2 linked regions of the Callithrix jacchus genome follow. The protein of the gene in region 1 purifies or fractionates together with the protein of each later gene. This does not show direct contact. Links are inferred from orthologs where the notes say so. Each region holds a gene or a part of one and is shown in the gene's direction. Other genes may lie near its edges. The genes, in order: HNRNPDL and HNRNPH1.

Evidence for each region.
Region 2: the proteins of HNRNPDL (region 1) and HNRNPH1 fractionate together in Homo sapiens (co-fractionation; 3 studies listed by BioGRID and IntAct, with this or other methods). This does not show direct contact. The link is inferred for Callithrix jacchus from reciprocal best matches to the Homo sapiens genes HNRNPDL and HNRNPH1.

The regions. Positions count from the first base shown.
Region 1 is NC_133504.1:115,399,729-115,412,068, forward strand, and holds HNRNPDL (heterogeneous nuclear ribonucleoprotein D-like), read left to right. Parts: upstream 1-1,744; 5' UTR 1,745-2,477; coding exon 2,478-2,920; intron 2,921-3,721; coding exon 3,722-3,890; intron 3,891-3,986; coding exon 3,987-4,148; intron 4,149-4,621; coding exon 4,622-4,753; intron 4,754-4,912; coding exon 4,913-5,027; intron 5,028-5,563; coding exon 5,564-5,734; intron 5,735-6,076; coding exon 6,077-6,147; 3' UTR 6,148-6,169; exon of another isoform or gene 6,170-6,540; 3' UTR 6,541-7,582; downstream 7,583-12,340. Other genes in the region: ENOPH1 (enolase-phosphatase E1), read right to left, coding at 1,238-1,321. UniProt on the Homo sapiens protein: Acts as a transcriptional regulator. Promotes transcription repression. Promotes transcription activation in differentiated myotubes. Binds to double- and single-stranded DNA sequences. Binds to the transcription suppressor CATR sequence of the COX5B promoter.
Region 2 is NC_133503.1:72,030,379-72,042,880, forward strand, and holds the end of HNRNPH1 (heterogeneous nuclear ribonucleoprotein H), read left to right. Parts: intron 1-101; 5' UTR 102-132; coding exon 133-229; intron 230-1,937; coding exon 1,938-2,093; intron 2,094-2,298; coding exon 2,299-2,442; intron 2,443-3,920; coding exon 3,921-4,059; intron 4,060-5,003; coding exon 5,004-5,182; intron 5,183-5,270; coding exon 5,271-5,342; intron 5,343-5,398; coding exon 5,399-5,532; intron 5,533-5,688; coding exon 5,689-5,824; intron 5,825-6,214; coding exon 6,215-6,274; coding exon of another isoform or gene 6,275-6,304; intron 6,305-6,366; coding exon 6,367-6,456; intron 6,457-7,094; coding exon 7,095-7,187; intron 7,188-7,629; coding exon of another isoform or gene 7,630-7,679; intron 7,680-8,257; coding exon 8,258-8,376; 3' UTR 8,377-9,016; downstream 9,017-12,502. UniProt on the Homo sapiens protein: This protein is a component of the heterogeneous nuclear ribonucleoprotein (hnRNP) complexes which provide the substrate for the processing events that pre-mRNAs undergo before becoming functional, translatable mRNAs in the cytoplasm.

The DNA.
Region 1 (12,340 bases):
CTTGAGCCCAGGAATTTCAGACCAGCCTGAGAAACATGGTGAAACCCTGTTTCTATTAAAAAAAAAAAAAAATACAAAAATCAGACAGGCATGGTGGCTCACCCTTCAGTCCCAACTACTCCAGAGGCTGAGGCAGGAGGATGCCTTAAGCCCAGGGAAGTCGAGGCTGTAGTGAGCTGTGATCGTACCACTGCACTCCACTGCAGCCAGGGCAACAGAGTGAGACTGTTTCAAAAAACAAACAAACAAAAAACATTCACAGGTAATTTTTTAAAAAATGAAAACCAAAATAGAATTTAAAACCCAAGGTGCTCGGTTTCCTGGAAGATGGATGTTTTCTACTTTGTAATATACTTTGTATATCTCGACTATTACTGTATATGCAAGCACCTCTAAGAAGTACTTGTATCTGCAATGAATTCTTAAACCTCAGGAAGCCAAATAAAAAGGCCAGGCCCAAGGAATTCTTTCAAAAATTAAAGTAACATTTCCTATTTATTTATTCTAAGAGGCAAAGAATAAAGAAGTAATCCGCTATAACGCAGAGTTGTGAGCTTAGATGCAGACAAGTGCTGGTTCACAGTGACATCCTAGAAGGAATGCTCTGGATAAGAGCTTCAAGCTTCTATGGTTTTCTGAGGAAAGTGAACAGAATCTAGACGTGTCCTATACCTCAAAAAATCAGTGCTGTGGCCCACAGAGCCTGACAGAGTAAAATAATACAGTGTGCAGTTCGGGAAGGGGTGAAGAGGAACCTCAATCGCCCGACACCAGGGCCACCTGAAAAGTCATCTTAACACTTCGTCTTTCCATTTTAAGACTGGAAGCTTCAAGGACCATTAAATCGCTGCCGCTGCCACGCCAGGAACGAAGGACCAGAAAGGCCGCTCTCACCTGCAGAAGCGACCGGGTGCTCACCTGCCGGGCCAGGAGGCCTGCATCGTCACACCCCGCCCGGGTTGACCTGCTCCTCGGCGATTTTTAGCGTCATCTTCCATCCCTTCCCACCCATCTGGATCCAACCAAGAGCAAGGGCGGGGGAGGGAGAAGCTAGTGCCGCGAGGAAAAGCATTCCTTCAAGCCTCCGCAGGCTTTCTGTCCTTCCTCCCGATTCCACGGAAGAGGCAAAGCCACGCCACCTCTCCTAACCCTTGTCTCTAACGCAAGGCCTGCAATACTTAGAAAAAAAATGACTTTTTAAGTAAAAGTAACATCCCTGCTCACTTCCGCCCCTCACCTTCACGAAAGCAATCGGGGTTGTGGTACCTTCGATATCTAACAGAATCACGGTGACTTCAGCGGGCACCGAAAGCACGACCATTTCCCTTCCGGATGCTACTACCGGACTCGGCCTACTGTTGGGGAGGGCGGAGGGCGGCGGCGCCAGCTGCGGCTGCGGCCCCCGGTACAGTCCTGGGCTTCCAATGGCCCAGTGCGATCTCGGAGCCAACGACCAAGTGCAGCCTGCCACGCGTGGGGAGAGGACACCTCTGCACACCTGGACCTGGAACTGGAACTGGAAAAGGAAGCCGCCCAGGAGCCCTGAACTCGTGAGCAGTACTGGGAAGGAGCCCGAGACCACGTGGGCAGGAAAAGGGGCGGCCCTCGCTGGGTTCGGCGGGGCTGGGAGGCTGAAAGCGCCAGCGCCGATTGGCCGCCGTCGGACCTCAAACGCGATCCGTCAAAATGGGCCTCGCGTGGGCGGGAACAAAGAAGTGAACGCGGGAGCTCGCTACGCGAGCGCGCCTTCCGCAGACTGGTTGAACGAGCTGGAGAGGCTCGGGGCACGTGCAGACGGGAGCCACGCGAGTGGCGCGCCGGGGATGTGAGTGCCCCTTGCCTTCTACTGCACCCGGCCCCCTCCCCACCCACCGCATCCTACTTTGCATAGATACAGTCATCTGGCCAGCCCCCGCCCCTCCTCCCGGCGTCCGCCCGCCAAAGAGGTCGCGCTGGGCCCGGGCTTTGGCCGATCTGCTGGGGAGGCCCGCCGCGCCCCCTTGGCCCGCTAGCCCGGGGCCACAGCGGAAGAGGCGCCCGCGCAGCGCTGCCCGGAGGGGCCGTCGCGCGCCCGCTTCCTGTTCGGCTGGTTCCAGCCAGCTCGGGAACAAAACACGCGTGCGCGCGGCGGGCGAACGCGCTCGCCGCCTCAGCCCCCAGCGCCGGGCGCAATCCGCCTTTTTCCGGAGCAGCCCGGCCGCGGTGCTAGTCGGTAGCAGCGGCCGCCGCAGCGGCTCCTCACTAGCGAACCAAGGGCAGAAAAAGGCGGGGTTGACGGCTCTTTGGTAGGAGTAGGCTGGACCGGACGCCAGAGACAAAGGCTCCCAAGGCAAGAGGGACTGTGGCCCTGCGTCGGCGCTGCTCGGGACTGCTGACCCCAGGACTTTACGCCCCTTCGTTTTTCTCTTCTGATTCCTCTCTCATCCCAAGCCTACGTCCCCTCACGCGTGGCCTCGCTCCTCGCCGGGAGGGCCGCGATGGAGGTCCCGCCTCGGCTTTCCCATGTGCCGCCGCCATTGTTCCCCTCCGCTCCCGCTACTTTAGCCTCCCGCAACCTCTCCCATTGGCGGCCGCGGGCGCCGCGACAGCTTGCCCCGCTCCTCCCTTCGCTCGCTGCCAGCTCCGCCCGGCAGGGGGCGCGCCGGGCCCAGCGCCACGTCACCGCCCAGCAGCCCTCCCGATTGGCGGGCGGGGCAGCTATAAAGGGAGGGCGCAGGCGGCGCCCGGATCTCTTCCGCCGCCATTTTAAATCCGGCTCCATACAACGCTCCGCCGCTGCTGCTGCCGCGACCCGGACTGCGCGCCAGCACCCCCCTGCCGACAGCTCCGCCGCTATGGAGGACATGAACGAGTACAGCAACATAGAGGAATTCGCAGAGGGATCCAAGATCAATGCGAGCAAGAATCAGCAGGATGACGGGTACCGCACGCTTCTTCCCCCACTCTCCCTACCCCAGCGCGCCGCACCCGCCCTTCGTCTCTCGGGATCCTCGCGCCGCCCCCATTCTTTCTCGGAGTCGATTCTCCGCGTGCCCGCTGGGCCCCACTAGCTTGGAGGGAAGAGGAAAGTAAGAGATCAAGGAGGTGACTGGAGAGGCCGGGAAGAGTGGGGGAAGGGCGGAGGGGTTGAAGGAGGAGGGCGGTGGCGTCTGTGTCCCGAGTGCGCAGGCGCCGCGTGGGACCCGGGGGGAGGGGCCGGCTTCTCTGCGCCGCACGCTGCAGCTGCGGCCGCCTCTTCATTGTGTCTCTCTTAACACTCGGCGCGGTTTTCCTGGGAAGAGTTTAGAGGACTGTGAGTTCGGGCACAAGCAGGCGACTGGTACCCAGATTCCCAGAACGTGTTATGATTGATGAGTTCTCTCGGTGGAACGTTGGCTTGACAGCTGAGGACGAGGGTGGACCTAAGATGTGAGGAATTCGTCCTGGAAGTTGGGCCTTCCACTCAAAGGAATCTGGGCAGAACCTTTACCATATCCTATTGGTCTCCTTTGAGCTTTGCTTTATACGGTGCAGAGAGCGATCTGTCCGCTGGTTTGAGTAATTCGGTTGGGATATTGGGATGTTTGTGGTCTGTTGACTTGTGTGACATAGGTTAAGTGTAAACAGATTTAAGTTGCTAACACGAGATAAATGTCCATGTTTTCACGATTTAATTAATTCCAGAACTGAAGGAGTCACTTGAGTTATTGCTAAACTTTTTTTTTTAAACTTTTATTTCTAGTAAAATGTTTATTGGAGGCTTGAGCTGGGATACAAGCAAAAAAGATCTGACTGAATATTTGTCTCGATTTGGGGAAGTTGTAGACTGCACAATTAAAACAGATCCAGTCACTGGGAGATCAAGAGGATTTGGATTTGTGCTTTTCAAAGATGCTGCTAGTGTTGATAAGGTAGGAACTGTTGTGCAATGTGCTGCTTTTGTGGTATTTTGCAAATTTTTCTGGGGGTTATATGCTGCCGTCAGATTAAATAAATCTGTCTTACAGGTTTTGGAACTGAAAGAACACAAACTGGATGGCAAATTGATAGATCCCAAAAGGGCCAAAGCTTTAAAAGGGAAAGAACCTCCCAAAAAGGTTTTTGTGGGTGGATTGAGCCCGGATACTTCTGAAGAACAAATTAAAGAATATTTTGGAGCCTTTGGAGAGGTGTGTGATTATGTTTACACATGTTAAGCTTAATGTGTTTATAAAATGTTAATTCCTGGTCTGTTTCATATAGGGCAGATTCATGTTTCATGTGAGGGTAGGATTAAATGACTGCTCACGTCGCTTCCAGACTGTACCTTGATTTGATGGCTGCTCTCATAGAAGTCCAACTATCTAATTAATTTAACCAAAACGTGGGTACTTAAATGTGGTCAGTTTTTGGACTGGTTAACTAGTGGCATCTTTGCTGTATAAAATAATCCTAAAGGATGTTTTACTTTTCTCTCAGTGCTTCACATGTACAACAAACCACTGTAGGCTGATGTTGATCATAAAGCAGTGCTGTCTGTATAGAAGTCATCTTATAAGATTAAAATCTTTAAGTTGAAGCTTGAAAAGGACCTGTGGCATTCGGACACTCTGGTAGCATTTTACAATTATGGAATGACCTTGAGTGTGCATCTCGATTTCAGATTGAAAACATTGAACTTCCCATGGATACAAAAACAAATGAGAGAAGAGGATTTTGTTTTATCACATATACCGATGAAGAGCCAGTAAAAAAATTGTTAGAAAGCAGATATCATCAGATTGGTTCTGGGAAGGTAAAGCCATTTAAGTACTTTAAATGAAAATTTTAAGGGGTGGTTTTGTGTGTGTGTGTGTGTGAGAGAGAGAATTTCTCAGTGTGTTTGAGAATAATGATTTGACTTTTTAGAACTTAAGTAAAAATTCTATTTTTATGTTTTTTAATTTGTTTATAGTGTGAAATAAAAGTTGCACAACCCAAAGAGGTATATAGGCAGCAACAGCAACAACAAAAAGGTGGAAGAGGTGCTGCAGCTGGTGGACGAGGTGGTACAAGGGGTCGTGGCCGAGGTGAGACTTAATTCTTGAAATATGACTCCATGGTTTATTTAAGCTGTATACTGCTAAATATGAGTAATCCTGTAAGAAAGTAAAACTTGCGAGGGAAAATGTTCAGCTTAGTGGGGGTTGTGTGTGGTGGTTTTTTCTTGTGAGCTCACTGGTTTCAAAAAAACTTAAAAGTATGGCCACTTTGAGAATTAGTGTCATCACTGATAGGAGACGTGTACCATTACATGTTATACACCATGGCATGATAGGTTTCCTTGGGCAGGAGTCCTTGTTTTAAACAGAACAGTGTACCTCTCTTCAGCTTTAATGAAAAATTTAATGATTTGCCATTAAATTTAGGAAGCTTGATACTGGCACAATTGGACTTTCTGCCCCCTTTTTTATAACAGCTGGAAAAATACTTTTTCAAGCAGATAGCAATAAATGTGTCCATTCTGCCCTTTAAGATTTGCAGAGTGAGGGACAAGAACGCATCATTTTATGTTAGAATTGGGGGTCAGAAGTTGTTTCCTAACAATCATTGTGCATTGTTTCAGGTCAGGGCCAAAACTGGAACCAAGGATTTAATAACTATTATGATCAAGGATATGGAAATTACAATAGTGCCTATGGTGGTGATCAAAACTATAGTGGCTATGGCGGATATGATTATACTGGGTATAACTATGGGAACTATGGATATGGACAGGGATATGCAGACTACAGTGGTAAGAACATTTAACTTAATTTTATCAACCAATGGCATTACAATTCAGTGTTAACATACAATTCCATTCTGAAATTGTGTGTATAGGCTTTCCACTAATTAAAGTGTTTGGAGTTAAGCATTTGAATCATGTTACAATCATAGAGTGATTGTACTAACATTGTGGTGGTTATAAATGTACTAGGATGTATGGCTTATGAGTAGGTTATAATGGGTACTAAAATATATTTTAATATTTTTATTTAGCATGCAAAGATTTGTAGATTTAATAGTTTCTTAATGCGTTTGTAAAGAAACGATTTTGTAGAAAACTACCTTAATGAAATTTGTCTTCTCAAAATAGGCCAACAGAGCACTTATGGCAAGGCATCTCGAGGGGGTGGCAATCACCAAAATAATTACCAGCCATACTAAAGGAGACCATTGAAAAAAACAGGTGTGTATAAGAGTACAGGAAAACAGTAGAAATGTCTAATTTAATTTAAAGATCAATAGACAAATGAAACGTAAAAACAAAATATAATGTAGCCTGTTTTTACTAAATTGTTGATTTTTTTTAATTGCTTTATAAGCCTGTTTTGCCTAAAGTGTCTATAGATCTTTAACTTTAAAGTCTTATCTCACTTTCTTTAGTACTGCAGAAAAACTTAAGAGTTTTTCTGTTTGCTTTTGTGTACCAGGTGGTCTAGAGGAATAATTAAACATTTTAGAACTATTAACAGGTAAAGTACTGAAATGGGTACAACTTAAGGAAAACAAGAATGTTGTCTTCTAACTCTGACATTATACCTTGTTTGTACCCGCCAGCGGGAACTTCATTGCAGGCCGTGTGTCACCCTGACCACGTCTATCTCTGGGGGTCGCACGTTGCGGGCAGAGCGCAAGGCATACACCAGAAAACGCTGTCCTGTGGTATGGTCTCTTCCAACTTCATGTACCAGCGTAAAGATTAAAGTGGAAAACTTCAGACTTTGGCTTCTTTTTTAATCTTTTTGGAGATTAAGTGTCTAAACTTAACTTAAATGGTTTTTTACAGGAGTTAAAGTACATAAATGCCTTTTTACAGCTTAATCATTTTGGTCTTCTGTTTAGTGTTGTATTTCAATTGTGGAGCCTCATTTTAAGTGTTCATTCTTTTAAGATTTAATGCTTGCTTTTTCTTTTTATAGCTAATAGTGAAATCTACAAACCAAAACAAGAACTTTTAAATCTGGGATATAAATTAAAGATCATATGCACAAATCAATTTATGTGCTTGTAATAAGCTTATTAGAAATTGGTGTTTATAATAGCATTTTGCTTGGGTTACTAGAGATGCTTCTAGTAGACCTTAATCTAGCATAGTTGAACATTTGAATATGGGAAGATTGTATTCCCAGATTCTTTCTTGAATATATTTGAATTTAATATCATTTGGGAACTCCAGGGTGAGTTTCTTAACTACCCAGACTGTATTTTCCTAATAAATATGCATATGATCTTTAATTATTGAAGAAAAGAATAAAGTGAGGACTTAAAACAGTTCATGAAAGTGGACCTTTAAAAGCTTGTCAGAGTTGCACACATCTAATCGTTATTTTGTTTTTGTTTTTAGGAGGAGTTGTTAAAGTAACCCATCTTGCAGGACGACATTGAAGATTGGTCTTCTGTTGATCTAAGATGATTATTTTGTAAAGACTTTCTAGTGTACAAGACACAATTGTGTCCAACTGTATATAGCTGCCAATTAGTTTTCTTTGTTTTTACTTTGTCCTTTGCTATTTGTGTTATGACTCAATGTGGATTTGTTTATACACATTTTATTTGTATGATTTCATGTTAAACTTCAAATAAATGCTTCCTTATGTGATTGCTTTTCTGTGTCTGGTACTACATAGCTCTGTAAAAATGTAATTTAAAATAAGCAATAATTAAGGCACAATTGGTTTTGTAGGGAGTATTGGTCCATAGGGAGAAACTGTGGTCCTTTATAAATAGCCAACATCATTCTCTTCCCCAATTTGTTAGATATATTCTATGATCTTAAGCCTTCATCTTCTCCCTGGTAAATGAGGTTTCTACCACACCTTTGAATAATGTTCCTTCCCCTCTGGTTATCTGAAGACTGTCCTGGGAGGAAGACCTAAGTGTTGTGATTAGGAGAAGCTTTCTAGTAGACCATGTTTCTTCTCGATTGTAATAAAACTGTTAGTGGCTCCTTTTGCTTTGTTCCTGTCTCTGGAAAGCCATTTTTGAGTTGCTAATTACTTTGGCTTTCATCAGTGGTCACTTAGAAAAAGCTTTGTAATCATGACACCATGACTATTTCTTGATAAAAATTTGCATGCACACAGGAAGGAGCACTGTAAAACTGGTAGGAGCTATGATTTAAGACCATTGAAAGTAGTGAGTAGTTACAAGTCAAGGATTTTGGCAGAAAGGTATGACTGGGCAAAAATTAGATTCAGATTTGAAATAGTGGCAAAGTAAGATTGAATTGTACTCTTCCCACAGCTACCACAAGACTGAACAAAACATTTTCTGTTTGGACATTCTGAGGAAGTTGTATTACAGTTAACTGTTAATGCTTTGTGAGTTTAGGAAAAGCCATTATAGTAAATCTAATTTTTAACTGCATGAGTAGTTAAACATTTCCATATTCAGAAATAGAAATAGTGGAAAAAGTATCTTAGGTGTGTCAGTCCAAATGTCACTGAGTAATTACAGTGGACCCTCCTGGTGCATTGAGAAGAAACATCCAGATTTCAGAGGACCTGGATAAATGCTTTGAATTTTGCATTCAGTGTGGTTTCTTGGATTTGGGGACCTTTGCCTCACTGGGATTGGCATACATGTTCACAGGCAGAGTAGTTGATCCCACACAATGGGTGATCTCAACTGGTGTTTCTTACGCTGGTGAATCCCCCTTTTTAATTTGGTGCCTACAACTTTGATACGATGATTGTATTTGCTGGGCTATCAAGTTATAATGTTCTTGGCCTTTTTTTGCTGCTGTTTTGCTATTTGTCTTCACACCTAGGCCAAGTACCAGTGTTAGCTGTTGGAAGGGATTCTGTTCATTGAACATGCAACTTTAGGGAATGGAAGGAAGTTTACTTTTAAGTTGTGTTAGTAGGTGCAGTGTCTACAGGTAGTGAATCCTGTAAGTTCAAATTTATGATTAGGTGACAAGTTGACATTGAGATTGTCCTTTTCCCTGATCAAAAAAATAAAGGCTTTTTAAACAAAATCCAAACTTTTTTTTTTAAGTCTTGATATGTATGAGTGAGAAAACATCTAGAGGTGATTGAGGTGCTTTTATAAAGAATTGGAAGCGGGGTGAGAATGCACTTGGTTTTTCTTGGAGGGACTTTGAACTCTAGGTTTAATTCAGTTTTTAGGGACAATCAGTTCACCAACTGATGAAAATTTGAAATAGAGACTATGAAGACTGTAAGTGTCCTAGGCACTTCTGATTGGATGGAACTGTGAAGCTAGTATCAAGATCTCATTCCTAAGAATTAATGTAGAATTAAGTAGTTGGACACGTTTATTGGGGAGAGGGGACAGAAATGAATTCTGTACCTATACCACTCAGTTTGTATGTTTTTATACATCGTATTTGCCTTTTGCATTGTTTAGAACAAATTCTGTGTGATGCTATCCTTGGGGAGGGTGGATAGAAATGAATTCTAAAGTACCTATAACAATTCAGTTTGAATATGATTTTATACAACATTTGCTTTTTGTATTGTTTAGACCCAAATTCTGTGTGTTTTCCTAACAAAAGGCCTTAGTGTTTCCATTGGTTGACATATTAATCTGTAATCTGAGCCACTTTTATAAGATGAGGACTATTAAAATGAGATATCTGTGGGAATGCTAGCATGGATAAGCAGAGCTTATTCCATTACTCTTCAGTGTATCTATTTTCATAATGGCAGAGATTTTTAATCTTCACAAAATTTAATACAAGGACATCTGAACAATTCAGCCACCTTCCATTACCAAGATTTGATTTAGTGTCAATCAGGATGCTATGCTGCGTGCTATAGCTCATGCCTGTAATCCCAGCACTTTCGGAGGCCAAGGCAGGTGGATCACTTGAGCTCAGCCTGGACAACATGGCAAAACCCTGTCTACAAAAAATACAAAAATTAGCGCAATGTTGTGGTGCATGCCTGTAGTCCCAGCTACTTGGGTTGAATCAGGATAATTGCTAGTGCCAGGGAGGTGAAGGGTGCAATGAGTCATGTTCATGCCACTGCACTCCACCTTGGGAAACAAAGTGAGACTCAAAAAATTACAGGACACTGAACTTCACCAATTAAAAAGTTAAGCTGGCCGAGCACAGTGGCTCATGCGTGTAATCCTAGCACTTTGGGAGGCCGAGGCAGGTGGATGGCTTGAGTCCAGGAGTTGAAGACCAACCTGGCCAATATGACAAAACCCCAACTCTGCTAAAAATACAAAAATTAGCTGGTCATGGTGGTACATTGAGGTGGGAGGATCACTGGAGTCCAGGAGACGGAGGTTGCAGTGAGCTCTGTACTCCAGCCTGGGCAAAAAAGTGAGAACTCAAAAAAAAAAAAAAAAAAAAAATGGCTTCAGCTGCAGTTGAGCTATGATCGCTCCATTGCAGAGACAGAGTGAGATCCTGTGTTATAGACGTCTGTGTATACCATTTGAATTGATTCAGTGTTGAGTAGTTAGAAAGTGTCATTCTAGAAGAAACACCACTTTCCTTAAACTTTAAGCGTAATTGGAGTTGGCATCTAATCTTTGTTTTCAACTTTTAAGCAAAAACAATGCAAATTCTATATCTTTTTAAATGGTCACTAGAAAATATTGCTTATAAAAATATAGGCTGTTCTTTTGGGATTGGTTGGGGTCTTAACATTTGCCTTGAAATAGGTTCGATGTGGAATTTCAGCAAGATTTAGTTAATAGGAAAAAATAAAAATACAACCTTTGACTTCTTTTTATAAAACAGTAGGAAAGGATATAGTGATGTTCTGGGTATTACAGAGTAATGCTGAACATTCTGAAGAGCTTAACTCCTGCTGCTCCTCTTTTTTCCCCCGCCCCTCAACAAGCATGAGCTTGGAATTGTGCTATTCTTTTTTTTTCCCCCTGAGATGGAGTTTTGCTCTTGTTGCCCAGGCTGGAGTGCAGCTGTGCAATCTCAGCTCACCAAAACCTTCACCTCCTGGGTTCAAGCAGTTCTGTCTCAGCCTCCTGAGTAGCTGGGATTACAGGAGTCTGTCACCATGCCTGGCTAATTTTTGTATTTTTAGTAGAGATAGGGTTTCGCCACATCGTCAGACTGGTCTCAAACTCCTGACCTTGGGTTTTCCACCAGCCTCAGCCTCCCAAAGTCCTGGGATTACAGGCATGAGCCGCTCCTCTCTGCCAGAATTGTGCTATTCCTAAGTGTCAGTTTAATCTCTGGTGTTACCCTTCTATCAGTACTCAAAGAAATGTACCCATTTGGGGAGCTGTATCATAATCTTGGAGGGTAGTGAAGCTAAAGGGTAGTTTGAAAAAGTATATTTGGCCAGACACGGTGGCTCATGCCTGCAATCCCAGAACTTTGGGGAGGCTGAGGTGGGTAGGCAACCTAAGGTCAAGAGTTTGAGACCAGCCTGGGCAACATGGTGAAACCCTGTCTCTACTAAAAATACAAAAATTAGTCAGGTATGGTGGCAGGCGACCATAATCCCAGCTATTTGGGAGGCTGAGGCAGGAGAATCACTTGAACCTGGGAGGCAGAGGTTGCAGTGAGCTGAGACAGTGCCACTGATCTCTCCAGCCGAGGCCACAGAGTGAGACTCTGTCTCAGAAAAAAAAAAAAAGAAAAAAGCATATTCAACATAATCTTGTCACTTAAAATCCAAATAACCAAAAAGGCTGATTTTGATTTCTCAAAGACCAGCACAAGCTAGAAAATTCGAGAAACTTTACAGGCAAGTTTTTCTCATACTGTTCCAATGGTAATCTCCTTTTGGGAATCTGACCAAAAGTGAATTCTCTTCAGACCCAAAAATTGCATGTCTGTAAATACTTTCAGTGTAGTTTCAGGAAAATTAGAAACTTAGAAAACTATCTGTTTTAAAAGGCTCTTGTAGTTGTTGGCTTTTATGGTAACAAACTGACTAAAATTGATTGAATTTGTTGTAATTGATGAGGTTTCACAATGGGAGTTTCTTCATATGTTCTCCACCTACCACCTGGGTATTTGTCTTGGCTGGTGAACACTCATAGAAGATTGTTTTATTGATGACAGGGTCTCACTTTGTCACCCAGGCTGGAGTGCAGTGGTGCCATCATGGCTTACTACAGCCTCAACCTCCTGGGCTCAACCAACCCTCCCACCTCAGCCTCCCATGGGGGCCACAGGCACACGCCTCCACACCTAGCTAATTTTTTTTTTATTTTTAGTAGAGATGAGGTCTTGCTATATTGCCCAAGCTAAAGGTTATTTATTTATTTATTTGTTTGTCTTAGAGACAGGGTCTCACTATGTTGCCTAGGCTGGTCTTGAACCCCTCGGGCACCAGTGATCTTCCTGCTTACACCACCCAAAGGACCATGCTGGGATTACCAGCATGAGTCACCTTGCCCAGTT
Region 2 (12,502 bases), on another chromosome or scaffold:
TTGCTCCGTAGGGCGGGTGGCGCGGGCCCGGGGGGGTACATCGGGGGCGGAGCACAGCTTAATGGGCGCTCTCAGGTCTGGTCCTCCTCCCCGCCTTGCAGTTTGTTTCGACGTCGGACCGCGTAAGAGACAATGATGTTGGGCACCGAAGGTGGAGAGGGATTCGTGGTGAAGGTCCGGGGGTTGCCCTGGTCTTGCTCGGCCGATGAAGTGCAGAGGTTTTTTTCTGGTGAGTTACCACTAGAACGCGGGAGTTCGAGTTCGAGGCCTGGGCGGGCGGGCTGGCGGGCGGGCTGGCGGGCAGCCGGGCTGGGGCGGGCCGGGCGGGACTCGGGGCGCCCCCTGGCGTGGCGCGGATGACTGCAGTTCCCGCTGTGCTGTTCGCGCCCCGCCGACCGCTGTTACGCAATGGAAATTTCGAAAGCCCCGCCGCCTTCCTGTTTCTTGGAGTGCTGCCGATCTGGTAGACTTGTTTTCTTTACCTGCCTTTGAACACCAGCTCTTCTTTTTTTTTCCGTTTTCGGCTCACTGCGATTCGGGTTGAAGCGATTCTCCTTGCCGCAGGCTCCGGAATAGGTGGGATTACAGGCGTGTGTCACTATGCCTGGCTAACTTACTGTACTCTTTTTCTTTTTTAAGACGGGGTTTCAACATGTTGGTTGGGCTGGTCTTGAATTCCCGATCTCAGGTGATCCGCCCGCCTTGGCCTCCAAAGTGCGTGGATTACAGGCGTGAACCACCACGCCCGGCCATCTTTTTGTATTTTTAGTAGAGACGGGGGTTTCACCATATTGGACAGGCCGGTCTCGAACTCCTGACCTGAAATGATCGGCTGCCTCGGCCTCCCAGAAGTGCTTGGGATTACAGGCGTGAGCCACTGCTCCCTGTCTGGGTATCTTTTGGAAAGGATAAATTGGCATAGATGGGATTTCTTCTTGAATCTTGAGAAAAATCTCCCGAGTGATTAGACAAATTGTAATGTTTTGGAATATCTTGAAGTGTAACCTCTTGTTTACAGTTTCGGTGTTTCCTTGAAAATGAGCATTCTGCTTCGGAAAGTTAAAGTGTCACGTCTTAATTTCGGTTTTCCTAATCAAGATTTGGTAATTGAGATGTGTTTGCTAGTCTAGTTCTTGATATGGCTCTCTATACAGTTGAAGACGCTGAAGCCCAGGGAAGTTTTCTTGCCTGTGTAAATTTTTTTCCAGTACACAGTTTTCCTGAGTATTTTCTATCAGAATGTTCTTGTTCGCAGCATTAGACTGGGGAAAAGAAATTAGTTTAGACTGATGAAATTCTATTTGGATGAAATTGACAGCTTTTGGTAAGACGTTTGTAGTGTTGACTTACTATCTGAATTTAGCGTTGGTAATGGAAAACGACCTGTAAAACAAGAACCAAGTACACTGGAAGCCACCTTGCAGGGGGCAACACTGGGTTTGGCTGCAGCTGTGCAGCTTGGAGCATTTTAGCTTGGTAACACTGATTCCCTTTCAGGTTAGTATTGGGCCTGCAATTTGGATTTGAATGAGAAACCGTAATGTCGCTGCTGGTAAAGTAAAACTGACAAATGCACCAGACCAAAACAACTCACAACGAAGTATGTTTGCCATAAAGTCACAAAGTACAGACTTGATAGTATTCTGAGAAATTGATAAAAGATTTGTGATGGAGACATGAGTAACAAGGACTCAAAAGAGAAATTCATTCTGTAACTGCTTTGAATATTGGATGTTGATGGGTTGGAAATAGATCCCCTTGGGAATGAGATTTCTTTTTTAATTGGCATTCTAGGAGTTGGTGATACCGTGGTCATTATAGTCTTCACAAGTTAATGTAATTTTTGGCGTGGGGGACATGGAATAGGTATTTCATCTGTGTCACCCAGAGGTGGTTTTAGGTTTTAAATTCTGTATTAACGGTTGTTTTCTTTCCAGACTGCAAAATTCAAAATGGGGCTCAAGGTATTCGTTTCATCTACACCAGAGAAGGCAGACCGAGTGGCGAGGCTTTTGTTGAACTTGAATCAGAAGATGAAGTCAAATTGGCCCTGAAAAAAGACAGAGAAACTATGGGACACAGATATGTTGAAGGTTTGATTTACGTTGCCCTAGTAACAGTAAATAAAGCGTTGCATATAGAGGTCTTACCCCTTCTGAATTTTAGGTATTTGACCGCATGGAAATGGTTATCTAAGGGAGTTTGTGGCAGCTCTTCCTAGCTTATCTAAAGACCCAGGAAGTCTGAACTTCGATATCTAATTTTCCAAAATTGACTAATTCTAAGCACCTCTTTCAGTATTCAAGTCAAACAACGTTGAAATGGATTGGGTGTTGAAGCATACTGGTCCAAATAGTCCTGACACGGCCAATGATGGCTTTGTACGTCTTAGAGGACTTCCCTTTGGATGTAGCAAGGAAGAAATTGTTCAGTTCTTCTCAGGTATGTAGTCCTGTTTGTTGCTGAGCAGTGAGTTTTGGCTAGCTTCTGGCAAGGTGATTTAATAAACCTTAAAGTTGAGTAGCTTAGGTCTTTAACTAGGTTGTAAATTTATGCCAATATTTTCTTCCTAGAGACCTTCAAATAATTTAAGCCCATCTTAAAGGTGGAAATGAAATACTTCCAAAATGTTAACTTTGCCTATATTTAGTATTATAGTTCAGAGTAGATCTTTCATTGAGGATTGCCCTCAACAGCTTAACTACTTTCCTCACATTGCTGTCCAGCTAAGTACCTCAAGTTAAAGGTAAGATCCCTTAACATCAGATTAGTATGATGAATTAGGTTGTTGTAAGTTATGGCAGGTGTCTGTGTTGCAAGAGACGCTTGGGTCATGGGACCAGAAACATCTCTTCTAATGGTCTTAATTCTCTTTAATGCAAAAGTCTATTATGAAAGACTTGGTTTAACCAGTGTGTTACAAACTTATTGAAAATCAGATGTAATGAGAGTAGGTTGAATGCTTGTAGTTTCAGTATCTGAAGTAACAAGTGTTGAAATTGTTTGTGGGCCTAAAGTATTTGAATGTTTTTATGCTGAAGAGCTGATAAGATTGCATGTTTAACAGAATGTTAGATATCTTATGTTTTAAGTATTAATATTTATGATGTGATAAACTGGAAGCAAGAAGTCCTTTCATGGTTTATTGTATATTAGAAATTTATATATGTATAAAGTCCTAATGTCAGAATTTTTAAAATCGTCTATTTTGTTTTTAATCTACATTGGTGAGAATTGAATGCTATCTGTCAACGTTAAATATGAACATAATTTCATATCTTCTAGGAAAGTGCTTTAAGTCCTTTTTGTAAGCTTGAGAATGTATCCACGGAAAGGATTTTTCATAGACGGAATTTCCAGAAGTGAATCATACTACTGTTAGAGCATAAGCAAGCATGATTGTCTGGTGTAGATCAGTTTTGTTGAAAATTTAGATTGTTATGTTTGTCAATAATGATTTAATGTTTTCAGTTTTTATATGAAATGTTTAAATGTGTACCTTTTTTAAAAGCTGAAGTTCCAATAACTTAAAGCATTGAAATATAAAATGAGGTAAAAGGTGTTTTGAATTTAGTAAAACTGTTTAATGCTTAAAACTTAATTGAATTTTTGTATAATTCTCAACATTAAGTTAGTTGTATTGATACGTGTTCTTAAGTTGAATTCTTAATGCATCCTGTGTTCAGCAAGTTGGTTTTAAAAAAATATATACTGTACCATGGGTGTGTTAAGAATAGTTATATTTTGTAATAATGGAACTTCATATTATTGAAATGCATATTTAAAGAGTACTTGTTGAAAGCATACCATTCACCTAAAGTTAAAAATTCTGGTTTATTTAAAGCTATAAGAAGAATCATTTCTGGGCTTGTGATGTTAATATTGCCCCCCTACTGGGGTTATTTGTCCTTGGGTTGAAGGGTTGGAAATCGTGCCAAATGGGATAACATTGCCGGTGGACTTCCAGGGGAGGAGTACGGGGGAGGCCTTCGTGCAGTTTGCTTCACAGGAAATAGCTGAAAAGGCTCTAAAGAAACACAAGGAAAGAATAGGGCACAGGTGGGGATGGATGGTTGGTTGGATATGTCACTTTTCTTATGGTAAATAATTAAATCCATATTCTCTCTGCTTAAAAGAAGAAATTAATGTTTTGTAGTCCTAGTTAATTGATGTTTTGCCATGATTTCTAAACTTCCTGTGTCAGAGTCCCATGTCATATGAAAACTAAATTTTAGGTTTAAAATTTGTCCCTAGTTAATTGGTCTACTTTACAATTTTGTGAGTCTTATTAACCCCAATAGAGTTGAGAGACTATGGCTTTAAAAAATTAATGCAAACCTCGCTTTAGCTGTAATAACAACCACCTAGTAAATTAATATTACCATAAGAAATTGTGATACTTTCTGATCTTGTTTTTAAAGTTGAAATGCAACAAACTTTTTCTTGCTGTATATAAATATTCTGCATAGTATTAATAAGCATAGCTTTCAAGAAATTGTCACAAAAGGTTTTATTCTCTTTGCTTGTGACTATTTTTCATTGAAGCATGCGCTTACCTATGCTGATTCTTACTAAAAGCATAGGCTGGGATATTTATTGGCGAAAGGAAATGTGTAGTGTGGGCTAGACTGTTGGTGGAGACTGGCTTTTTAGCCCACTTGCTATACATGCTGCCAATGGATTTAAGACTTGAAATGTTGAAAGTTGAGTGGAATTATTTCCCTCCTAAAACATTTATATACAGTACTCCTCTCTTACCCCTAAGGTTGGGCTCTGCCTCAGAGGAGTGAGTTTTTTTTTTCCTATAAAGTATACATTAAGTCTTACTATTTATTGAGTGGATTTCTGGTCATTGCCTATGCAAATATAAGAAATCTGGCTCTAAATATTAGTCAGTTTCATGGCTGTGACTAGATTGTTTTCTTGTATAACTAAATACCTGTATAAAATGAACTAATGTTCTCTCTCCCCTCCCTACCCCTTCCTTATGAACAATGCTTTAGGTATATTGAAATCTTTAAGAGCAGTAGAGCTGAAGTTAGAACTCACTATGACCCACCACGAAAGCTTATGGCCATGCAGCGGCCAGGTCCCTATGACAGACCTGGGGCTGGCAGAGGATATAACAGCATTGGCAGAGGAGCAGGCTTTGAAAGGATGAGGCGTGGTGCTTATGGTGGAGGTGCGTGAGGATTCTTAAGGTTTGGCAAGTCAGTTCCTTTGTGTAGGTGTTGTGTTTGATTGATGGTACATTTTTTTTTGTCTTTCAGGCTATGGAGGCTATGATGATTACAATGGCTATAATGATGGCTATGGATTTGGGTCAGATAGATTTGGAAGAGGTAAGGTAAGAATTGAATTTCTCAGTTGAAGGATGCTTACACTCTTGTCCATCTAGACCTCAATTACTGTTTTTCAGGAATGTCTGATCACAGATACGGGGATGGTGGCTCTACTTTCCAGAGCACAACAGGACACTGTGTACACATGCGTGGATTACCTTACAGAGCTACTGAGAATGACATTTACAATGTAAGTGTAAGACGGAACTCACAAGTCAGTATTTCAGTATGACAGTAAAAGTCTCAACTTTATTGTACTATAAAGGGAACACCATGTTAGAGATTTTAGTTTCATTTTGTAACGTTAGGAAGTTGATTCAGTTTTTTGAACTGCCTTGTGTTGTAGTTTTTTTCACCACTCAATCCTGTGAGAGTACACATTGAAATTGGTCCTGATGGCAGAGTAACTGGTGAAGCAGATGTCGAGTTTGCAACTCATGAAGATGCTGTGGCAGCTATGTCAAAAGACAAAGCAAATATGCGTAAGTGTGATTGAGCACTTATGGGCTCATTCTTAGGTGATTGTGTGACTAACATTTACAATAGAGGAATAGAAAAATAATATATGAGAAGTTTCCTTTCCAGTAATAGATTGATTCTTGGGGAACAGGGTGGGGTGTGTTAAAGGTTTGGTTTTTAAAAATTAGTTTAACAGATTTGTGATACACATCTTACATCTTGAAGTATATATCCTTTATTGACAATATAGATGAATATGTAAAGGCTAGATTTTGAAGTTATAAAGATCACCTAAGAGAAGTAACAAGTCTTTGCCCAAGTATTTGAAGTTCATAGATCTACGTGTTTAAAAAGTGCTTATCCTGTTTTCTTTCACCAACAAACATTTTCAAACTTTTTTTTTCTCATTTCAGAACACAGATATGTAGAACTCTTCTTGAATTCTACAGCAGGAGCAAGCGGTGGTGCTTACGGTAGCCAAATGCTAGGAGGCATGGGTTTGTGTAAATATCACTTTAGTGTCCTTTTTTTAAGCTAACCTTGTATGCCTTTTCTCTCATTTCAGAACACAGATATGTAGAACTCTTCTTGAATTCTACAGCAGGAGCAAGCGGTGGTGCTTATGGTAGCCAAATGATGGGAGGCATGGGCTTGTGTAAATATCGTTAGTTTTTTTAAAAACCAAAACGTTTATATCTGTATAAGTCAATTATAAGTTAAGTTAATCTATTTAATGAGTTTAGTATAACAAACTTAGGCAAAGAAAGCAGTTTCTTGATATTTGAATGAATTTTGTATCTGGCTTAAACCTTGTGTACTATGAAGTTGCTTAGGATAGATAATTCAAATTAGATATAAGTACTCTTGGGGGAGGGACCTATGGAGTGAAATTACTGAAATTTTCTGAGTATAAAGTCTAATTAAGATAAATTAGGTGTTAACTGATAAACCTTTATATTGAACATACCTTGATATATCAAACTAAGGGGAAACCCCACTAAATCCAGTCAAGCAATTTCATAAGATCTTCACAAAATGCCTCTAACTAATGGAATCGTGAATTTTAGTCCTGCCGATGTGTATACCGTTAGCACTTTGGTTTATAAATACTTGATTAGCTCAAATGATGGATAGAAGGGCAGCCTGGTTATAGACAATAGGCAGAAGGAGGCAGAGGGTTATAGTAATAGAAGATCAAGACTGGAAAATCATAGATAGAGAATTACAAGCCCGGTACCACCAGGTACCACATTACATAAGGAGCAAGGATCTAATGTTTTCTTAACTTAACAGCAAACCAGTCCAGTTATGGTGGCCCAGCCAGCCAGCAGCTGAGTGGTGGTTATGGAGGCGGCTATGGTGGCCAGAGCAGCATGAGTGGATACGGTAAGCATTTTTTTAAATATACTTAGAATAAGTTTTAGGCAGGTTTTTTTTAGTTGGGAATACATGCAGGCTCCATTTTGGTGAAATTGGGTTGTTTAATGTATGCTTCATATGTAAACTTTTTTTAGTTTAATTTCCAGAAACAATCATTGGGAGGGGGACGTGTTTTGTGAATTAAAAACTAGTTATTGCAGCTTTGGAATACTGTCGAGCCAGAAAATATCTGCCTCCATTTATTAAAACATTAAAGTTGTTCACTTTTTTGTCTTTTGGTTAGCTTTAAATCAATTTTAGATGGAGGGAGAATTTTAAATAGAATGGTGGTTGGGTTCAGGATCGTATTTATTAGTCAGTTGTTAACCTAGGATTGGTTTTATTTTTTTCAATTGGTCTAAATGGTGATTTTGGTATTATAGTCTTACCCTACAAAATCCTTTTGCAGACCAAGTTTTACAGGAAAACTCCAGTGATTTTCAATCAAACATTGCATAGGTAAATATTTTCTCAAAAAATATAATTTAAATTCCCAATAGCAAATACTGATATGTTGTAATAACACTTTTTATAGCAGTCAATGGCTCTGACTTAACCGAGGCTGCCATTTGGGCACAGTGAGTTGCCTTTAGTCCAACTTAGTTGTCTCACTTTTGCCCACCATGAATAGGAAAAGCGAGAGATTTCCCCTGTGCTCCCTATTCTCATGTCATTTGAGGGACACATTGTGAATGTTTATGGTAAATTTTTTTTTAAATGCCTTGTTTAGCTTTAAAAATATGAAGTAATTTTGCAATTTTTGAAAAACACTAGTTTTCCTTTAAACTTAATTTTTCACGTTGATCCTGAATTTCGTTAACATGGTAGCACAAGAGTCTGGCAAGTTGGTACTGCAGAGAAAAGGGGTTAATTGAGACTTGTTTGGAGTGGGATTCCCCTTTCCCAAACATGCTTCTCGCCACTTGGACAGCAGCCATTTATACTCGTATATTTTTAAACTTTTTTTTGTAATACTATATTTTATTTGACTGATAGTCTGACATTACTTCTAACTTGTCAAATTGGTCTCTTTGCAGGTAGCCAAGGAGCAATGAACAGCAGCTACTACAGTAGTGGAAGCCGTGCATCTTTGGGCGTGAATGGAATGGGAGGGATGTCTAGCATGTCCAGTATGAGTGGTGGATGGGGAATGTAATTGATTGATCCTGATCACTGACTCTTGGTCAACTTTTTTTTTTAAAGAAAAAACAAAACTTCAGTTTAACAGTTTCTGTAATACAAGCTTGTGATTTATGCTTTCTCTTTAAGTGGAAATCAGGATTCTTATGAAGACTTGGGGCTCAGTATTTTTGAATACAATACTTATCTAGGATATGAGTGAAGCTGAGTAAACTATAACTGTTAAACAAGTTCCAACTTTTCTCAAGTTAGTTATATTGTAGGATATACTTAAGCAGTAAGCGTATTTAGGTAAAAGCAGTTGAATTATATTAAGTGTTACCCTTTGCATTGAACACTGTTCAGATGCATGTTGAAAGACATGCTTTTTTTTTTTTAAACTCAATATAGGAGCTGTGTCTACAATTAAAAGTGAAACATTTTGGCATGTTTGTTAATTCTAGTTTCATTTAATAACCTGTAAGGCACGTAAGTTTAAGCTTTTTTTAAGTTAATGGGAAAAATTTGAGACGCAATACCAGTCCTTCAGGATTTTGGTCTTGGTGTTTGTATGAAATTCTGAGGCCTTGATTTAAATCTTTCATTGTATTGTGATTTCCTTTTAGGTATATTGCGCTAAGTGAAACTTGTCAAATAAATCCTCCTTTTAAAAACTGCACTGTCTGCTTCAGTGTCATGTGGAGTGAGTCTTGGTCCTCTGTGCCCACCTGGGGCCAAGGGCCACATCTCTGGCTGTGGCAGAGAGGCTTGGTAGCTGAGGCTGTTCTTCCCTCCAGTGCAACTGAAGGTAAACTCAGCTTTGGGGCCCTTGTGGAGGGGCTGTATGTCATTTGGCTGCACAGGACCTGATCTGAACTGCCTATAACGTTTTAAGCACTTGCACGAAGCAAAGCGGGAGGCACCAGTGCCCTCACTGCATGGCCTGCATGTCTAGGAGGACTTTGTGCATGGCTGGGAAGTTGCCAGAGGCAAGGGAGGTGTGATGAATATGCGGGTGCCTTCTAGAAGGAGCTAGCTCACGGAAGATTTATTTGTGGTGGAGTGTCAATGTCAGCTGAGGCTGCATTGCAGTGGCATAGTCTCAGCTCACTGCAACCACCACCTCCTGGGCTCAAGCAGTTCTACTGTTTCAGCCTCTCTAGCTGGGGTTACAGGCGTGTGCCCACCACCTCATTTTTGTATTAATTGAGGCACGGGGTTTCGCCATGTTGACCGGGCTGGTCTCCCAACTCCTGACCTTGGGGGGGCCTCCCAAAATGCTGGGATTACAGGCATGAGCCACCATGTCCAGCCTTCACAGATGGTTTTCAAATTGAGGTTTTGAACTTTATGTTTTGGGCTAATTTCTAAAAATCAGTTCCAATTGGGGTCAAAATTCCATGTAAACCTCTTCAGGTAGAATGATAGGTAGTGATTGAGAGCAAACATGACTGGTTTAAATGAACTCTTCAAATGTATCCCCTTTATGGTAGTTTGGAGCGCCAACATGCTAGCAAGTATTCAAGTTGCTTTAAAGCAACTTGGAAAGTGTGATTGCAGAGTTCCTTCAGTAGATGCTTAGGGGCACTGCAGTTTAGGAACTGCCACTATTTCATCCCTTTAGATTCAAAGTCCCTGATAATGGATTCAGAATGTAGAGTCCAAGCTAGGCTGTCACATAACATAGGCTTGTGCCCTTTAAAGCAAAGTGTGGATAAGCTTTCTCTTCCTGTGGTTTACACAGAAGCTGTTCTTGAGTTTTTGGGGTAGGGCTAGGTAGGGTGGACAGAGTGGGGCTTAGTGTTGGTTGTTTCTAACCATCTGCCCACAGAAGCAGTGCATACAGGAGACATGGGCAGCAGGAGGGGCTTGCAGATCCTACCTTGGCTGCGTGCCTTACCAGGACTGGAAACCAGCGGAGGGAAAGGTCTGGAATGTATTCTTTGTTTTGTCTTAGGCATGTCTAGAGAGAGCAGCAGTTCTCAGTGGGCAGGCAGTGTTGAGAGTTGAGCTGTGTTATAAGCCTGGTGCTGCGCCTGAAATCTTGTTGGGTTAATGTAGTTTGGTATTGAGGCCCAGTGTTGAGAAAGCTTGAAGGTTCCTTCTCTGGGTCCTTTAGTTAACTGGTACATTTAGGGATAAAACTTGCCCTGTTAGAGAAGGGACTAATAAGAAGGAACTTGGAGTAGTAGTAAGCTAAATCCAGAGCCCTATGGCTTTTAAGAAACGAGTCTAGGCCAGGTGCAGTGGCTGACACCTGTAATCTCAACACTTTGGGAGGCTGAGGTGGGTGGATCACCTGAGGTCAGGAGCTCAAGACCAGTCTGTCCAACACAGTGAAAACCCATCTCTACTAAAAGTACAAAAATCAGCCTGGCGTGTTGGCGCACACTTGTAATCTCAGCTACTGGGACACTGAGGCAGGAGAATTGCTTGAACCTGGGAGGTGGAGGTTGCAGTGAGCTGAGATCTTGCCATTGCACTCTAGTCTAGGTGATGAGGGAAACTGTCCAATGCCTGTAATACCAATTCCAGCATTTTCGGAGTCTGAGGTCGGGAGTTTGAGACCAGCCTGACAAACATGGAGAAACCCAATCTCTACTAAAAATACAAAACAAGCTGGGTGTGGTAGCACGTGCCTGTAATCCCAGCTACTCCAGAGGCTGAGGCAGAAGAATCGCTTGAACCCAGGAGGCGGAGTTTGGAGTGACCTGAGATTGTGCCATTGCACTCCAGCCTGGGTGGGCACCAAGAGTGAAACTTCATCTCAGAAAGGAGTCTAGAAGCATTATGGTTCTTTGGAATCTTGTGCTCCATAGCTTGTCTGCAGTGACTCAACCTCCTGACCCTGTCAGCTGGAATCTGCATTTTATTTTTTTTTTTGAGATAAAGTTTTGCTTGTTGCCCAGGCTGGAGTGCATGGTGCAATCTTGGCTCACTGCAGCTTCTGCCTCCTGGGTTCAAGTAATTGTCCTGCCTCAGCCTCCTGAGTAGCTGGGATTACAAGTGCCTGCTGCCAGGCCCAGCTAATTTTTTTTGTATTTTTAGTAGAGACGGTTTCATCATTGCCCAGGCTTGTTGCAAACTCCTGACTTCAGGTGATCCACCTGCCTTGGCCTCCCAAAGTGTTGAGATCACAGGCGTGAGCCACTGTGGCTGGCTAGAATCTGCATTTTAAACAACAAAACCCTGACCACTCACCCCTATTTCAGTTGACATGGGAAGCACAGAATATCTATCCCTCATTTCTCAGGCTGGGTAAAGGTTACCATCTTTACTAAACTTTGGAACCACCAATCCCTGGTCTGGTAAAGGTACTGCAGAGAAAAGGCATTAATTGAGACTTGTTTGGAGTCGGGATTCCCCTTTCCCAAACATGCTTCTTGTTTAGAGTCAGAATTCCCTCTTTCCTAAACCTGGGTGGTGGAGATTGCTTCTCGCCATCTGGACAGCAGCCATTTGTACTTGTATACAGCCACCAGGTTGGCTAAGGAGGTGTGAACAGGCCCAGGTCGGAAATGGAACAGGTCAAAACTCCCGTGCTGATCAGTAGTGGGATTGTGCCTGTGAAAAGCCACTGCACTCAAGCCTGGGCAACATAGTGAGACCCCATCTCTTTAAAGGAAAAGAAAGGCTGGGAACCTGAGGTCTGGATTTGGTGAGGGTAGGGAGCCTGTGGGAAGTGAAGGTAGGGTGGTCAGCAAGATATATGTATAGAAGGTGGATAAGGATGAGGCCTGGAAGACTTGGTTGTTTGTACTTGACAATGCAGTTATCTGTACCCTAAGAGCCCTAGGCCATTGGCTCCTGTCTGGGGCTCTGAGGGAGGGACTAGAAGCCAGTTCTAGCACTGTGTTAATGGCTCACACCTGTAATCAGCACTTTGGGAGGCTAAGGTGGGTGGATCACAAGGTCAGGAGTTCCAGACCAGCTTGGCCAACACAGTGAAACCCCATCTCTACTAAAAGTACAAAAAAGTAGCTGGGCATGGTGGTGGGCACCTGTAATCCCAGCTAGCTACTTGGAGGCTGAGGCGGGAGAATCACTTGAACCTAGAAGGCTGAGGCTGAAATCACTCCATTGCACTCCAGCCTGGGTGACGGAGCGAGACTGTCTCAAAAAGAGTGGCCTGGCAAATGCTTTTCCACAGGTGTCTCTGTCAC